2 linked regions of the Neodiprion lecontei genome follow. Each later gene encodes a partner of the first gene's protein in a complex. Links are inferred from orthologs where the notes say so. Each region holds a gene or a part of one and is shown on either strand. Other genes may lie near its edges.

Region 1 (7,188 bases):
AATTCCGAAGGAAAAAGCACCCGCTGAAAAACGTCGAAAACACAGGTTCTGGTTTTTTGGCTGTAACTTTTGATCTGTTGCTCGCAGCGTATCGGGACTGCGCCCAGTCGATTTCTCTCGCAAAATTACGTCGGAATAGTGCACGAAAGAATTTATTCCAGCACTTTTCAAAATCGCGAAGATTTTCGCCAAAAATGCAAAGGGTTAGCCTTACTTTTTCTTCATTTTTGGAGCCGAAAATTTTTGGTCTCAGATTCGATTTGTATGACCTTCTCCTGACTAATTGGACCGCCAGGAACTCAGAAAACGCAGCGAAAAGAGCGTGGGATCAACAGGAGAGAAATTCCGAAGGAAAAAGCACCCGCTGAAAAACGTCGAAAACACAGGTTCTGGTTTTTTGGCTGTAACTTTTGATCTGTTGCTCGCAGCGTATCGGGACTGCACCCAGTCGATTTCTCTCGCAAAATTACGTCGGAATAGTGTACGAAAGAATTTATTCCAGCACTTTTCAAAATCGCGAAGATTTTCGCCAAAAATGCAAAGGGGTTAGCCTTACTTTTTCTTCATTTTTGGAGCCGAAAATTTTTGGTCTCAGATTCGATTTGTACGACCATTTCCTGCCTAATTGGACCGCCAGGAACTCAGAAACTGCAGCGAAAAGACCGTGGGATCAACAGGAGAGAAATTCCGAAGGAAAAAGCACCCGCTGAGAAACGTCGAAAACACAGGTTCTGGTTTTTTGGCTGTAACTTTTGATCTGTTGCTCGCAGCGTATCGGGACTGCGCCCAGTCGATTTCTCTCGCAAAATTACGTCGGAATAGTGTACGAAAGAATTTATTCCAGCACTTTTCAAAATCGCGAAGATTTTCGCCAAAAATGCAAAGGGGTTAGCCTTACTTTTTCTTCATTTTTGGAGCCGAAAATTTTTGGTCTCAGATTCGATTTGTATGACCTTCTCCTGACTAATTGGACCGCCAGGAACTCAGAAAACGCAGCCAAAAGAGCGTGGGATCAACAGGAGAGAAATTACGAAGGAGAAAGCACCTGCTGAAAAATGTCGAAAACACAGGTTCTCGTTTTTCGGCTCTAACTTTTTATCTGTTGCTCGCAGCGTATCGGGACTGCACCCAGTCGATTTCTCTCGCAAAATTACGTCGGAATAGTGTACGAAAGAATTTATTCCAGCACTTTTCAAAATCGCGAAGATTTTCGCCAAAAATGCAAAGGGGTTAGCCTTACTTTTTCTTCATTTTTGGAGCCGAAAATTTTTGGTCTCAGATTCGATTTGTACGACCATTTCCTGCCTAATTGGACCGCCAGGAACTCAGAAACTGCAGCGAAAAGACCGTGGGATCAACAGGAGAGAAATTCCGAAGGAAAAAGCACCCGCTGAAAAACGTCGAAAACACAGGTTCTGGTTTTTTGGCTGTAACTTTTGATCTGTTGCTCGCAGCGTATCGGGACTGCGCCCAGTCGATTTCTCTCGCAAAATTACGTCGGAATAGTGCACGAAAGAATTTATTCCAGCACTTTTCAAAATCGCGAAGATTTTCGCCAAAAATGCAAAGGGGTTAGCCTTACTTTTTCTTCATTTTTGGAGCCGAAAATTTTTGGTCTCAGATTCGATTTGTACGACCATTTCCTGCCTAATTGGACCGCCAGGAACTCAGAAACTGCAGCGAAAAGACCGTGGGATCAACAGGAGAGAAATTCCGAAGGAAAAAGCACCCGCTGAAAAACGTCGAAAACACAGGTTCTGGTTTTTTGGCTGTAACTTTTGATCTGTTGCTCGCAGCGTATCGGGACTGCGCCCAGTCGATTTCTCTCGCAAAATTACGTCGGAATAGTGCACGAAAGAATTTATTCCAGCACTTTTCAAAATCGCGAAGATTTTCGCCAAAAATGCAAAGGGGTTAGCCTTACTTTTTCTTCATTTTTGGAGCCGAAAATTTTTGGTCTCAGATTCGATTTGTACGACCATTTCCTGCCTAATTGGACCGCCAGGAACTCAGAAAATGCAGCGAAAAGAGCGTGGGATCAACAGGAGAGAAATTACGAAGGAGAAAGCACCTGCTGAAAAATGTCGAAAACACAGGTTCTCGTTTTTCGGCTCTAACTTTTGATCTGTTGCTCGCAGCGTATCGGGACTGCGCCCAATCGGTTTCTCTCGCAAAATTACGTCGGAATAGTGCATGAAAGAATTTATTCCAGCACTTTTCAAAATCGCGATAATTTTCGCCAAAAATGCAAAGATATAGCCTTTATACTTTATTTTTCAGCGAAAAATCTTTCGTCTCAGAACCATTTTGTGTGACCATTTCTTGACTAATTGGACCCCTGGAATGCAGAAAACGCACTCAGAAGAGCGTGGAACGTTCTTCGGCTGCAACTATCGATATGTACCGTAGCTCGCAGCGTATTCTATAGAGTTTGTTTATCAGCTGTATGAGTATAATAGCTATTCGAGGTATAAGATAATATTCCAATTACTCTATTTATTGTAGAATGGTAATGCATGTAATGCATTTAAGCGAGTCAAGTATTGTTGCCATTTCATATTATTATTCATTGTTTTGATGAAACGCCCTGGACACCCTCCATCATTTTCAGTATGGGCTATGCGGTAATAAGCGTATGAATAGGCGGCGTCTCAATCATGCACGAATTCATGGTTGTGGAAGCATGAGAATCAATTAGATTTTTTTCTCACCTTGAAAAATCGCTACATTTTATGTGATTTCCTTTTCGTTCCCCCATTTATTCCGTTTTTTCCACTGCCAATCAAAAATTCTAGATTTTTAAATCCTTGGGATAAAAACGCAACTGAGAACCACTGTCTCAACTACCTAGTTCAAAACTCGTGGCATTTCACCGTTTCGTCGTATCTATTTTCACTAGCGACCACGGTCTTTATGATCGGTCTGTGTACTCCGGCTGTAAAACCGTGCTCGAAAATGAAGCCGATGTTGTGAATTTTTGCCGCTAGCGCTAGTGAGGGAGAGGCCTACTTAATACGCATACACCTGCCTCGGAGATTGCAGCGCTCCGGTCTTTGGTGCACAAATTGAGAAACACAGGCTTCAAGTCGGTCACGCTGCGTTATATAGGAAGGGAATTGGAGTGCCCAAACCTGTTTATAAGACCGTGCTCGCGACCTTTTGCCACCAACGGCATGGTGTTTTTGCGTCAACTTCACGCCCGTGAAAATCCAGCCTCATCATCATAGTTTATTATTCACTGCATTTACCCTACTGCGATGGTAAATCTATTTCGCTTATCACAGTGGCTTATCAGCATGCGTCTGCAAATGAAAATTAGTTCTAAGAATCTGTTTTGCATCAGATGGCGCCAACACTCTAAAAAAACTAGCGTAAACTAGACAACGCTTTAAAAACGGGATATGATTGCGAGTAATGTTGCTAAACAAGGGGTGAGCTTTTGATTTCCCAAGTTCAATTTATTACGTACACATTGACAAGACGTTATAGGTGCGAAATTAATATTCGTAAAATACGATTAAAAACTAAAAAACTAAATTAATGTATCAATACAGGATAGTAATCCCCGCTTGTAAAGCCAACCATCTAACCTCAAAATAGTTAATCTTTACTGATTCAAAGCCACCGTTTCTCAAAAACACACTCATTTGTATCTGCTGAAAATGGTTGACTCAGACGAGGAAAACGACAGAGACATGGATCTGGAAATGAATATGACTGGATTTTTATTTGGCAACATTGATGAAGATGGTCAGTTGGAGGATGATATATTAGATTCCGAGGCGAAGCGCCATTTGGCTTCCCTGGGTCGCCTCGGCCTTAGCAGTTTACTGCAGGAAATGATTGCTCTAGACAATGAGGAACAGAATGAAAAAGAAAATGAGAAAGGAGAAAATGAAGATGAAAATAAAACACGTGTCAAATCCGAGTCTGACGATGTCAACTATCTAGAAAAATCTCCAACAGCGTTGGATTTCTCTGATATTAACGAATTAGCTGAAGACATAAACGAAGATGATGCAGAAGCGTCCTCCAAGAAACAGGATAGGGCAGCCAGTGACTACGATGCAGATGATGAGGAGGGAGTCAATAAATCTGACACTCAGTTAATGCCTCCTCCGCCCATTCCAGATGAAAAAGAAGCTCTGACCCCTGAAGAGGCAGAAGCTGCTCGCCAGCGTAAGCTTGAAACGCCCTTGGCTTCCATGCTGCCTTCCAAATATGCAAATATCAACGTTACGGAATTGTTTCCTGATTTTCGCCCCAATAAGGTCCTTAGGTTCTCGCGACTTTTTGGCCCTGGCAAACCTAGCAGCCTTCCGCAAATTTGGCGGGGTGTTCGAAAACGGCGGAAAAAGAAGAAACACCACGATCCGAAGGATTCAGACTCGGGATCTGATCACGACGAGAGGAAACCTAAGTTCAAGGTACAATAAATATTGAAAAGCTTTTAATTAGCTGAAAATGTAGTTAGGTACTCTTCTACTAAGCAATTTTGACATTAGAAAATGTTTTAAAAGCTGTGAGAAATATCACAAATTTGAGAATTTAAGTCAATCTTCCAACAGGGGTGGAAAATGCATTACGCACCGACTCCATCGCCAGATGAATGTATCCCAGATGATGAAGAAAAGTTATTGCTTCCCGTCGAAGACAAGGAACAAACTGGTAAAACTGGCGACATGGGAGACAGCAATGACATGGGTCCAAAAGTTGCAGACTGGCGCTTCGGTCCAGCCCAAATTTGGTATGACATGTTGGAAGTCCCAGAGACTGGTGACGGCTTTAATTATGGGTTCAAACTTGCGGAGAAAACTGAAGAAGTCTGCAAGTCAAAAGATGAGGATACATTTCCAGACGATTCCTTTCTTATGGTGTCTCAACTGCATTGGGAGGATGATGTCGTGTGGAATGGTGATGATATAAAACATAAAGTGATGCAAAAATTAAATAGCAAGAATAATGCTGCTGGTTGGGTACCTTCGAGCAGTAACAGAACTGCTCAGGCCTTCAGCCAGCCAGGAAAAGGAACTCCTGTTCCTGTAGCACCTAACGTTCGACTTGCTACATCGCAAATAGCGACTCCTCTGCACATGCAGTCTAAGAGTAAACTTGCATCGATGGGTAAAGGCAGCCAGCAGCAACAGCGTGAAGAAAACTATGACGATACTTGGTACTCTATTTTCCCTGTGGAGAATGAGGAGTTAGTTTACGGACTCTGGGAAGAGGAAGTTATCTGGGATGCTGAGCACATGACGAAAATACCGAAACCAAAGATTCTCACCCTAGATCCAAACGATGAAAACATTGTATTGGGAATACCGGATGACATAGACCCAGCTCTTCTTCATAAAGACAATGGGCCTCAACCTAAGGTAAAAATCCCACACCCTCATGTGAAAAAAAGCAAACTTTTGCTGGGTAAAGCAGGAGTTATCAACGTTCTTGAAGAGGATGCTCCGCCTCCACCTCCAAAGTCTCCCGATAGAGATCCATTCAACATATCAAATGACTCTTACTACATGCCTCGCTCTTCGGAAACAACATTACGATTAAAAGTTGGCGGTGGCAATTTAATACAGCATAGCACACCGGTCGTAGAATTGCGAGCACCTTTCGTACAGACACACATGGGACCTATGAGACTGAGGAATTTCCATAGACCTCCGTTAAAGAGGTACAGTCACGGACCTCTGTCTCACACTGGTCCCCACCACGTGTTGCCTCTCCTCAAGCACATCAAGAAGAAAGCTAAGCAAAGAGAACAGGAGAGAATTGCCTCGGGAGGTGGAGATGTCTTCTTCATGAGGACACCTGAAGATTTGACTGGAAGAGATGGGGAAATTGTTCTCATTGAGTTTTCTGAGGAACATCCACCTCTGATGAATCAAGTTGGAATGTGCTCCAAAGTCAAGAATTACTACAAACGAAGAGCTGGAAAGGATCAAGGGCCTATGCGTTACAAATATGGAGAGGTCGCTTATGCGCACACCAGCCCATTTTTGGGCATCTTAACACCTGGCCAAAGTATTCAGGCTATTGAAAATAACATGTACAGGGCCCCGATTTATGAACACAATGGTCCAGAGACTGATTTCTTGATAATAAGGACAAGGTACAGCTGCTTCAAAGGTTGTTGTAGAAATAGAATCACTCTAATCACTGGTCTAAACATTGCCCATTTTTCAGACAGCAATATTTCGTGAGGGAAATAGATGCCTTATTTATTGCTGGACAAGAGTGTCCGTTGTATGAAGTTCCTGGTCCAAATTCCAAACGAGCAAACAACTTTGTAAGAGATTTCTTGCAAGTTTTCATATATAGATTATTCTGGAAATCTCGTGACACTCCTAGGCGAATCAAAATGGATGATATTAAAAAAGCATTCCCATCGCATAGTGAAAGCAGTATAAGAAAGAGACTGAAGCTTTGCGCTGATTTTAAAAGAACAGGTACATTTCACTCTGTATCAGCCTCGTAAAATTTCCTTACATATTTCTATCAAATTCTGCAAAGAATAGTATTATTAAAAAATTTGTGATTTGTTACCTTCGTTTTTTAAACTAGGAATGGACTCAAATTGGTGGGTAATCAAGCCAGACTTCAGACTGCCGACTGAGGAAGAAATCAGAGCTATGGTTTCTCCGGAGCAGTGTTGCGCCTATTTTAGTATGATCGCAGCCGAACAGAGACTTAAAGATGCTGGGTATGGTGAAAAGTTTTTGTTCACACCTCAGGATGACGACGATGAAGAAATGCAGTTGAAAATGGATGATGAAGTCAAAGTTGCACCCTGGAACACAACACGTGCCTATATTCAAGCGATGAGAGGGAAATGTTTATTACAGTTGGCTGGTCCAGCCGATCCTACAGGCTGTGGGGAAGGCTTTTCTTATGTAAGAGTGCCAAACAAACCGACAATCAGCAAAGTAAGTACGATGCGAACATTTTTTGTGGGGAAGTTAAACAAAATGATAATAATAATTTCTCATTGCTGTTTAGGAAGAGCAGGAAGCACAGCCAAAGAGAACAGTTACTGGCACAGATGCAGATTTGCGTAGGCTTTCGTTGAACAATGCAAAGGCTTTACTACGAAAGTTTGGTGTGCCTGAAGAAGAAATTAAAAAACTTTCACGGTGGGAGGTAATTGACGTTGTGCGAACTTTGTCGACGGAAAAAGCGAAAGCA
Region 2 (6,889 bases), about 13 Mb from region 1:
TGCAAAGAGACGAATACACCAGCAAGATGCGGAGGAAAAGGAATTCAGTCTCGTTATGCAACGATCACTAGAACCAGCTGTTTGCAGGGTATTTATTATTTACCATTAACGAGACGAGTATCAGCTACTTTTGTAAATTAGAAAAAATAGTTTCAGTATGTAAATATTCAGGAATGTAAATATTAATTAACAACCTCTATATATGAAATGGACAAAGGAAATCAATGATTTTTATAAAATTTTGGGCTCCATAAAATACGTTCAAATTATTAAGCGTACCAAAATAGGCAAATGAATACTATGCTAAAAAAATTTTTCTTCAAAGACATTTCAGTTTTATTTTCACAACTGTTTTAATTCATAAAGTGTTAGCAATTCAACTCTGTATTTGTTAGTTGATGCACAATTCACCTTTCACAGCAAGAGTTCCCAAATTTTCAAGTCGACGTGTATGCTCTGGTCCTCGACAACGGTGGCTCCTCTTTAGCAGCAGCCATAATGTGTGCCAGTCTTGCATTAGCAGATGCAAGTGTCCCCATGTTTGGTCTGGTTACTGCAGTTTCCGCAGTAAGTGAAGTAAAGGCAGTAGATGCTCGTGAAACCTCCACAGGCCAACTCAATTTGAAATATCTTCGTAAAATCTTTCACAATAGAAACATCTTCATTCATAATGAACTATTGTCAAACTGCATTCTTCACATGGATATGAGTCTCTTGAAAATTTCAATTATAGTGTTACAGAAGTGCAGATAGACGGAAAACTGTAATAAAAATAACAGCTGTTGAGATATTTATGTTCCTTAAACTGTTAACGAACTTCTCATTTTCAGGGGTTCTATAAAGATACAATGTTTTTGGATCTGACAGTGGAGGAAGAGGTACTTTGTAATTCTGCACCAGCAAAGCCAAACCCACCCAATAACCATGGACTGATCATGCAAGCTGCTTTACCGCAACATGACCAGATTTCAGAGTTTTTTCTCGTTGGAAGCATTAACATAGATTGCATAAAACAAGCTATCGAAACCCTCACTGTAGCTAATAAGAATATATGTCCAGTTGTTCAGCAATGTTTAGTCAAAACTGTCCTCAGAGCTTTAAAGCGAAAGGAACAGGAAAAAAATTAAATAAAAACATGATTAGAAATGAATGAACCTTGAAATTTTCCATTGATTAGTTTGACAAGGAGAGCATGATGTACATAAAAATTTATACATTCATTTGAGTTGATAAGAATTGGTTTATTTATATTTTTAGAGTAACAGAAAAAATCAGTTCGCAGCTTATTTTTTATAGATAGGATTAATCTTCTGGTTTTTCTGGAGGTGGGCCACAAGGCTGCAGCATTTTCTCCATCAGATTAAATCTGACGCGTGCCTTGGCTTCGTTTTCAGCTAGCGCAAAAAAATTTAGAAGGTCGTAATGCCCCATGTAAGAGCTACATGAATCTCTGTGCTGATTAACCAACCATTCAAATTTCGTTGTGTCTGCATGACCTGTCCCAATGTACTTGGATTGAAGATGTTCCAGCTGACTATGGATATTGTAACGTTCCCCCATTCCTAAATTGAACAATAACAAAATGCGTGATACATAACCTCGAAATTATAGGTTAGCGCTATTAATGGGACGCAATATTCCATAAATTCATTTATCACCGTCTGTCGTATGGCCGAATGTACTCTTGCAATATGTAATGTCAGTTATACTTCACAATATTAACAATTACTAAAATAGTGAAAAATTTCACTTGATATACTTTTCTACTTACTTTTGACAACGCTCTTGATAAGTTTCTAGTACACTTCTTGGTCTCTCTTATAAATGATTAACGAGATCAGTTTTCTAATGTATGTACAAGATTAACTACTTGGTTTTCACAAAAGTTTTGTTGATGTATGTATGCAGGTCCAGATGCCGAGTCCGTATTTTTATCAGTTTTGACACAAAACTAGACAGATATTGTCGAACGTTACAAATCACGCTTCGTCTTGAAACCATAGACTTATAAAGATAGACTAAGCGCTCCTAGAAGAGGCACTGACAATCACATATAAGGGACAGAGATATATCAGGACTACTGCTCTCACTTTTCAATTGGCGTCATGGTGGAAGACAACGGAGCAGTGGAAGTGGAACAGCTGTAGATATAGGCGCATAATTTCGCCTCATTCTCCTCTATCGCCTCGATCCCAGCCCCAAATATCGTCAGAGAGAGAAGGGAGTCTCCCGGCATATTTCTGTCCTTTAAATGTTTGCTTCAAGCGGCTCATAAGACCGCTCAGTCTATCTTTATAAGTCTATGCTTAAAACTGATGATGCACAGATAGTGGTCAAGCTGACCGCATTCAACCTATCTCTCTCACTCCGGATTGATCTTTGGCATACCTGCAACCAATGCCACTTCGGTAGAAAAACTACACTAGCAACGCTAGTAGTACAGAAAATAACCCTAATGTGTACAATTACTGAAGACAAGTTTTGTCCGTCTTGTGTTGGGTGTTTGGTCAGTTCCCTGACACACGCTGCTAAAAGTGGTTCGCAAAATGTCCCTCGATTCTGCCGCCAATCTCCACCACTAGTGGCGCTAGTAGTTGTCTGAAAAGCGTGCGCGCGGTCTACGAAGGCAGCGAGGGTGTCAGAAGTTTACTAGCGCCACGTAGGGGAACTAAAAAACGGGGACAAAACGCATACAATTTTTTAGTATACGAGCAGTGGCGAGTGTCAGGGGGCTGGTGTTTGGCTCTATTTGCGACCTGAAAAAAAAAGGAAAATGATCATCATTCTCACAATGTCCACCACCGCTGTAGGTTAGCTGGTGACGTTAAGATCTTGGCCGTGTTCGTAAATTGACTAACAGTACTCAAAATTCCCTAGGACAGAGTCAGAGCTATTCACGAACTGGGAAGCGCAAAAGAGATGAAAGATTGCTGACAGTACTGTCAGTCAATTTTCGAACACGGCCCTTATCTTACTCATCCTCACAGACGCATAAGGCCCCTGGCGGATTTCCGTCGTACTAAGACAAAATAATCACAGTAACCGAGGGCCAGTTGGACCACCTCTTATTCTTACACCGTGCCCCCCTCCCCCCCCCCCCCCTCCCCCGCCGCCAATCTAACCTATCCTGAGCTAACCTAACCCATCCTCTTGTACAGAATTATTGTTGATACCTTAACCGAAAATGGTGTCTGTTGAAAAATGAGTACAGGATCTCCCTAACTTCGGAATAGCTCATATATTAGAAGAATGAATTTGTGATATTAAATTTAAGTATGTGATTTTGTATGAATGTGTCGGCGAAGTATTAGATTATCAATATAACAGGGTAACGACACTGCACTTTCGCAAATCAACATTACTTGGTCATCAAAGTAATGTGCTAACTGGCCTTAGTTACCAAGTTCACTCGATTATCAAGATTGCACATAGTGGCAAATTATAAAATTTGTATTAAATTGAAATTTACATAAACATCCACGATGGATCAAATGCTCCCGAGTCCGGGATTCAGCATCCCGAGTATCGGCACACCGTTACATCAACCTGAAGAGGATCAACAAATATTGCCGAATGCGCTACAACAACAACAACAAGTCCAACAAAATCAACTACAGCAAATGCATCCGATGGGTTCAAACGTACACGGAATGCCAATGTTGGGTACACCGCACAAAACTATGCACACTTATGCTCCGGCATTCGCAACGCCGCAAAGTCTTATGCAGCCACAAACACCGGTAAACACTATCTATTATTTCACTCGCTTTTTCACCAACTAATGTTATAAAAGTTCTTAACCACTTAAGGATGATGTTTTGCTATTATTTTTTCATAGCAAAATATGATGTCGCCTATGGTTCAACCAGCAAGTCAAATAGCTCCCCCTTCAATCGGACCGTCAACTCCAGGCCCGATGACACCAATGACGCCTGCTTCCGCTGATCCTGGAATTCTACCCCAGCTTCAGTATGTTCCCATTGGCTACTGAATGTCTGTTACTATTTGTTAAATTCCTAATTATTCCTTAGGAACATTGTGTCAACGGTGAATCTCAACTGCAAGCTTAACTTGAAGGAAATTGCGCTACATGCTAGAAACGCCGAGTATAATCCGAAACGATTTGCAGCAGTTATAATGAGGATAAGAGAACCCAGAACTACCGCCTTGATATTCAGCAGCGGAAAAATGGTATGTACCGGCGCTAAAAGTGAAGAGGACTCTCGCCTGGCTGCAAGAAAATATGCACGTATCATACAGAAGCTTGGATTTCCAGTGAGTACTTGTATGTTGTCAAATTTCATATGATGAGATCCGTTTCCTGTACGAAACTTATTAAATTTTTATTAGGCTAAATTTCTGGATTTCAAAATTCAAAATATGGTTGGAAGCTGCGATGTCAAATTCCCCATCAGATTAGAAGGACTTGTATTAACGCACGGCCAATTCTCTTCGTATGAACCAGAACTATTCCCTGGCTTGATATATCGAATGGTTAAACCCCGTATCGTGTTGCTTATATTTGTTTCTGGCAAAGTTGTATTGACTGGTGAGTAATTAATCAAGAAAATCCAATGAAATATTCACAGCTTTTCGCTTGATATGAAATTATTTCTGATATTTCCGATAAATCCTTCACATTTGTCCTGCTAATAAGTTACCATTTGTCCCCAAATAGAGATTACAGTTTGCTGATCATTGTGAATACATGAGCAGTGCTTTCCAATTATTTCATGTCCAGTAATTGTAGTAATACATACCGATAATAATATTCTTGTTACCAACAGGTGCAAAAGTACGGCAAGAAATTTATGAAGCTTTCGATAACATATATCCAATTCTGAAGAGTTTTAAGAAGCAGTGATTCCCAACTGAATCTGACGATATTTTTGATACCCCGATGAAAGAATAGTCTTCTAAAATCTTTTTATTAATGCTGCTATTTGCAGAGGTGTACAGAACGACGAGTGTTCGTTATTTGTTAAAAAAGAATAACTGAAATAGCAACTACTGAAAATGTTACTGTACAAGACAATTGACATGAAGTACTATCGGTTTTTTGCGAGCACTTATATATTCTTACAGGCTGACAGGTGCCTTATGCCGCAAAGCCGTTATCTTTTATGAACAATTCTTAGATTAAGCTGTTGATTCTGGGCTTTGCCGTTAAGTAATGAAAAATAAAGTTAGTGTACCAAGTATTTTACGAATCTACTATTCCAAACCTCCCAGTAAATCAAATTTAACAAATGTGTGAAATTCAAATACACTGTAAAGGAATCAACTATGAGCACAGTTTTTTGAGAAAAGAATATGTGTTATACATAGCAGTGAATACGACATGTATTTACTGTTTCACTGCGTAGCGAGAGTTTATGAAGTAGAACTAACGGTTTCTTCTGTAAATGTTGTCTGAGTCATAGAGTTATCCAGCCTTTTTCTTATTGCTGCGACATTTTCTTTTTTTTTTTTCCTTTCAAGATGATTATTCTTTCGAATCAGATTCTGATATCTTCTGTGTTGATTCTATGATGTAGGAATAAAAATTAGATTTCATGTACCATACATCACCCGTAATAGAGAGCTGTTTAGAACAGAATTAAATTTACCTCTTTTTTCTTGAGATTCCTGTCTAGTTAACTCTACTGTTGGCAGCGAAGGTTGAGTCTCTTCGATATATAGCTCTGTAGTTTGTTCTAGAAGCTCGCTCTCTTCATGTTTTACTGCAACTGTTGGTTCTGGGTGTTCAAGTTCATCGGCCTTAGGTATTAACAAAGAAAATAATGATTGACGTTAAATTTCAGCTTTGGTCATCCAATCAAACAGGATGCATTTCGAATTCGAATAATTAAATATCTTACCGATACCTGGGATTGCATAATCAGTTGAGAAATATCTGTGAACACCTTGGTTGCATGTTCTCGTATATCCTGTTTCTCATCATCGCTAGTATTGTCTGGCAGATTGCTCAAGAGGTGATTTGTTGCAGCAGTTACTCCGTCTTCTTCTGCCAACAATTCAACTAACAAATCTTGAAGAATAGTAATATCTATCCCAGTTTCTTTGTCTATTCCAATATCATCGAGCAATTTCTTTACAAGTCGCTGCGGTTCTTCTTGGTCTATCCTTACTATCTTTGTCTCAGTGTCCAATCTTTGAATTGATGCATAAGTGGGTGAAAAATTATTAATTTATAAAAGTCCCTCGAATAAATGACTATTGTGATTAACTAACCGAAATACAATTTCGTTAATTATCTCCCGGATGGCTTGACACATTGCTTCAACATTTTCCGGGTCATCTTGTTGTGGCAGTGACGCAATAATGTTTTCAATACTTCGTTCAATTCCAGCACGCAATTCCTCTCTACTGCCGCCGATTGGCAAGTTAGACACCACCTCTCGCAATATGTCCCATTCCACACTCTCCTCTTCATCTCCTAACGAGGCCTGAATTATTCGTGAGAGCAAGTGGTGTACCTACAAAATAACGTTGGTGAATCCAATCTTTGAGTTTCGTTATTATTATTTCCTCTTATTTTTAGCACTTAGAAATCTCGTCCAGCATATGTAGCACCAAATACGTATAACAGTGCCAACAAACCATTGTCGACGTATTATTGTCGCACTCATCCATCGGCTGCAGCTGCATGTTGTCCTCATCATTTTCTTTTTTGTCATACATTTCTTCTGTTGTCGTCTCTATGCATTCTTCGTCATCATTTTCTCTATTGTTAGTTTCTTCTTCTTCCCCCTCAACTTAAATGATTTTTGTTATTCTAATAGTGGACGTGATATTTCACACATCGTCGTGTGATTCACGATATGTGATGTGATTGTCTATAAATCAAATTTTTCTACATTGCACAAAATATTAAAAATCGTTTCAC

The links.
Region 2: transcription initiation factor TFIID subunit 1 (region 1) and TATA-box-binding protein share a complex: the UniProt entries of both Caenorhabditis elegans proteins name them as parts of the TFIID basal transcription factor complex. The link is inferred for Neodiprion lecontei from reciprocal best matches to the Caenorhabditis elegans genes taf-1 and tbp-1.

The regions. Positions count from the first base shown.
Region 1 is NC_060261.1:1,233,383-1,240,570, reverse strand, and holds the start of transcription initiation factor TFIID subunit 1, read left to right. Parts: upstream 1-3,177; 5' UTR 3,178-3,431; exon of another isoform or gene 3,432-3,554; 5' UTR 3,555-3,662; coding exon 3,663-4,427; intron 4,428-4,568; coding exon 4,569-6,115; intron 6,116-6,189; coding exon 6,190-6,452; intron 6,453-6,567; coding exon 6,568-6,929; intron 6,930-7,002; coding exon 7,003-7,188. UniProt on the Caenorhabditis elegans protein: The TFIID basal transcription factor complex plays a major role in the initiation of RNA polymerase II (Pol II)-dependent transcription.
Region 2 is NC_060261.1:14,534,392-14,541,280, reverse strand, and holds TATA-box-binding protein, read left to right. Parts: upstream 1-3,120; 5' UTR 3,121-3,482; coding exon 3,483-3,740; intron 3,741-3,838; coding exon 3,839-3,969; intron 3,970-4,031; coding exon 4,032-4,275; intron 4,276-4,350; coding exon 4,351-4,549; intron 4,550-4,787; coding exon 4,788-4,864; 3' UTR 4,865-5,201; downstream 5,202-6,889. Other genes in the region: exosome complex component MTR3, read left to right, coding at 1-88, 421-567, 831-1,127; splicing factor 3B subunit 5, read right to left, coding at 1,303-1,560; cilia- and flagella-associated protein 44, read right to left, coding at 5,486-5,526, 5,610-5,760, 5,862-6,153, 6,235-6,479, 6,604-6,758. UniProt on the Caenorhabditis elegans protein: The TFIID basal transcription factor complex plays a major role in the initiation of RNA polymerase II (Pol II)-dependent transcription.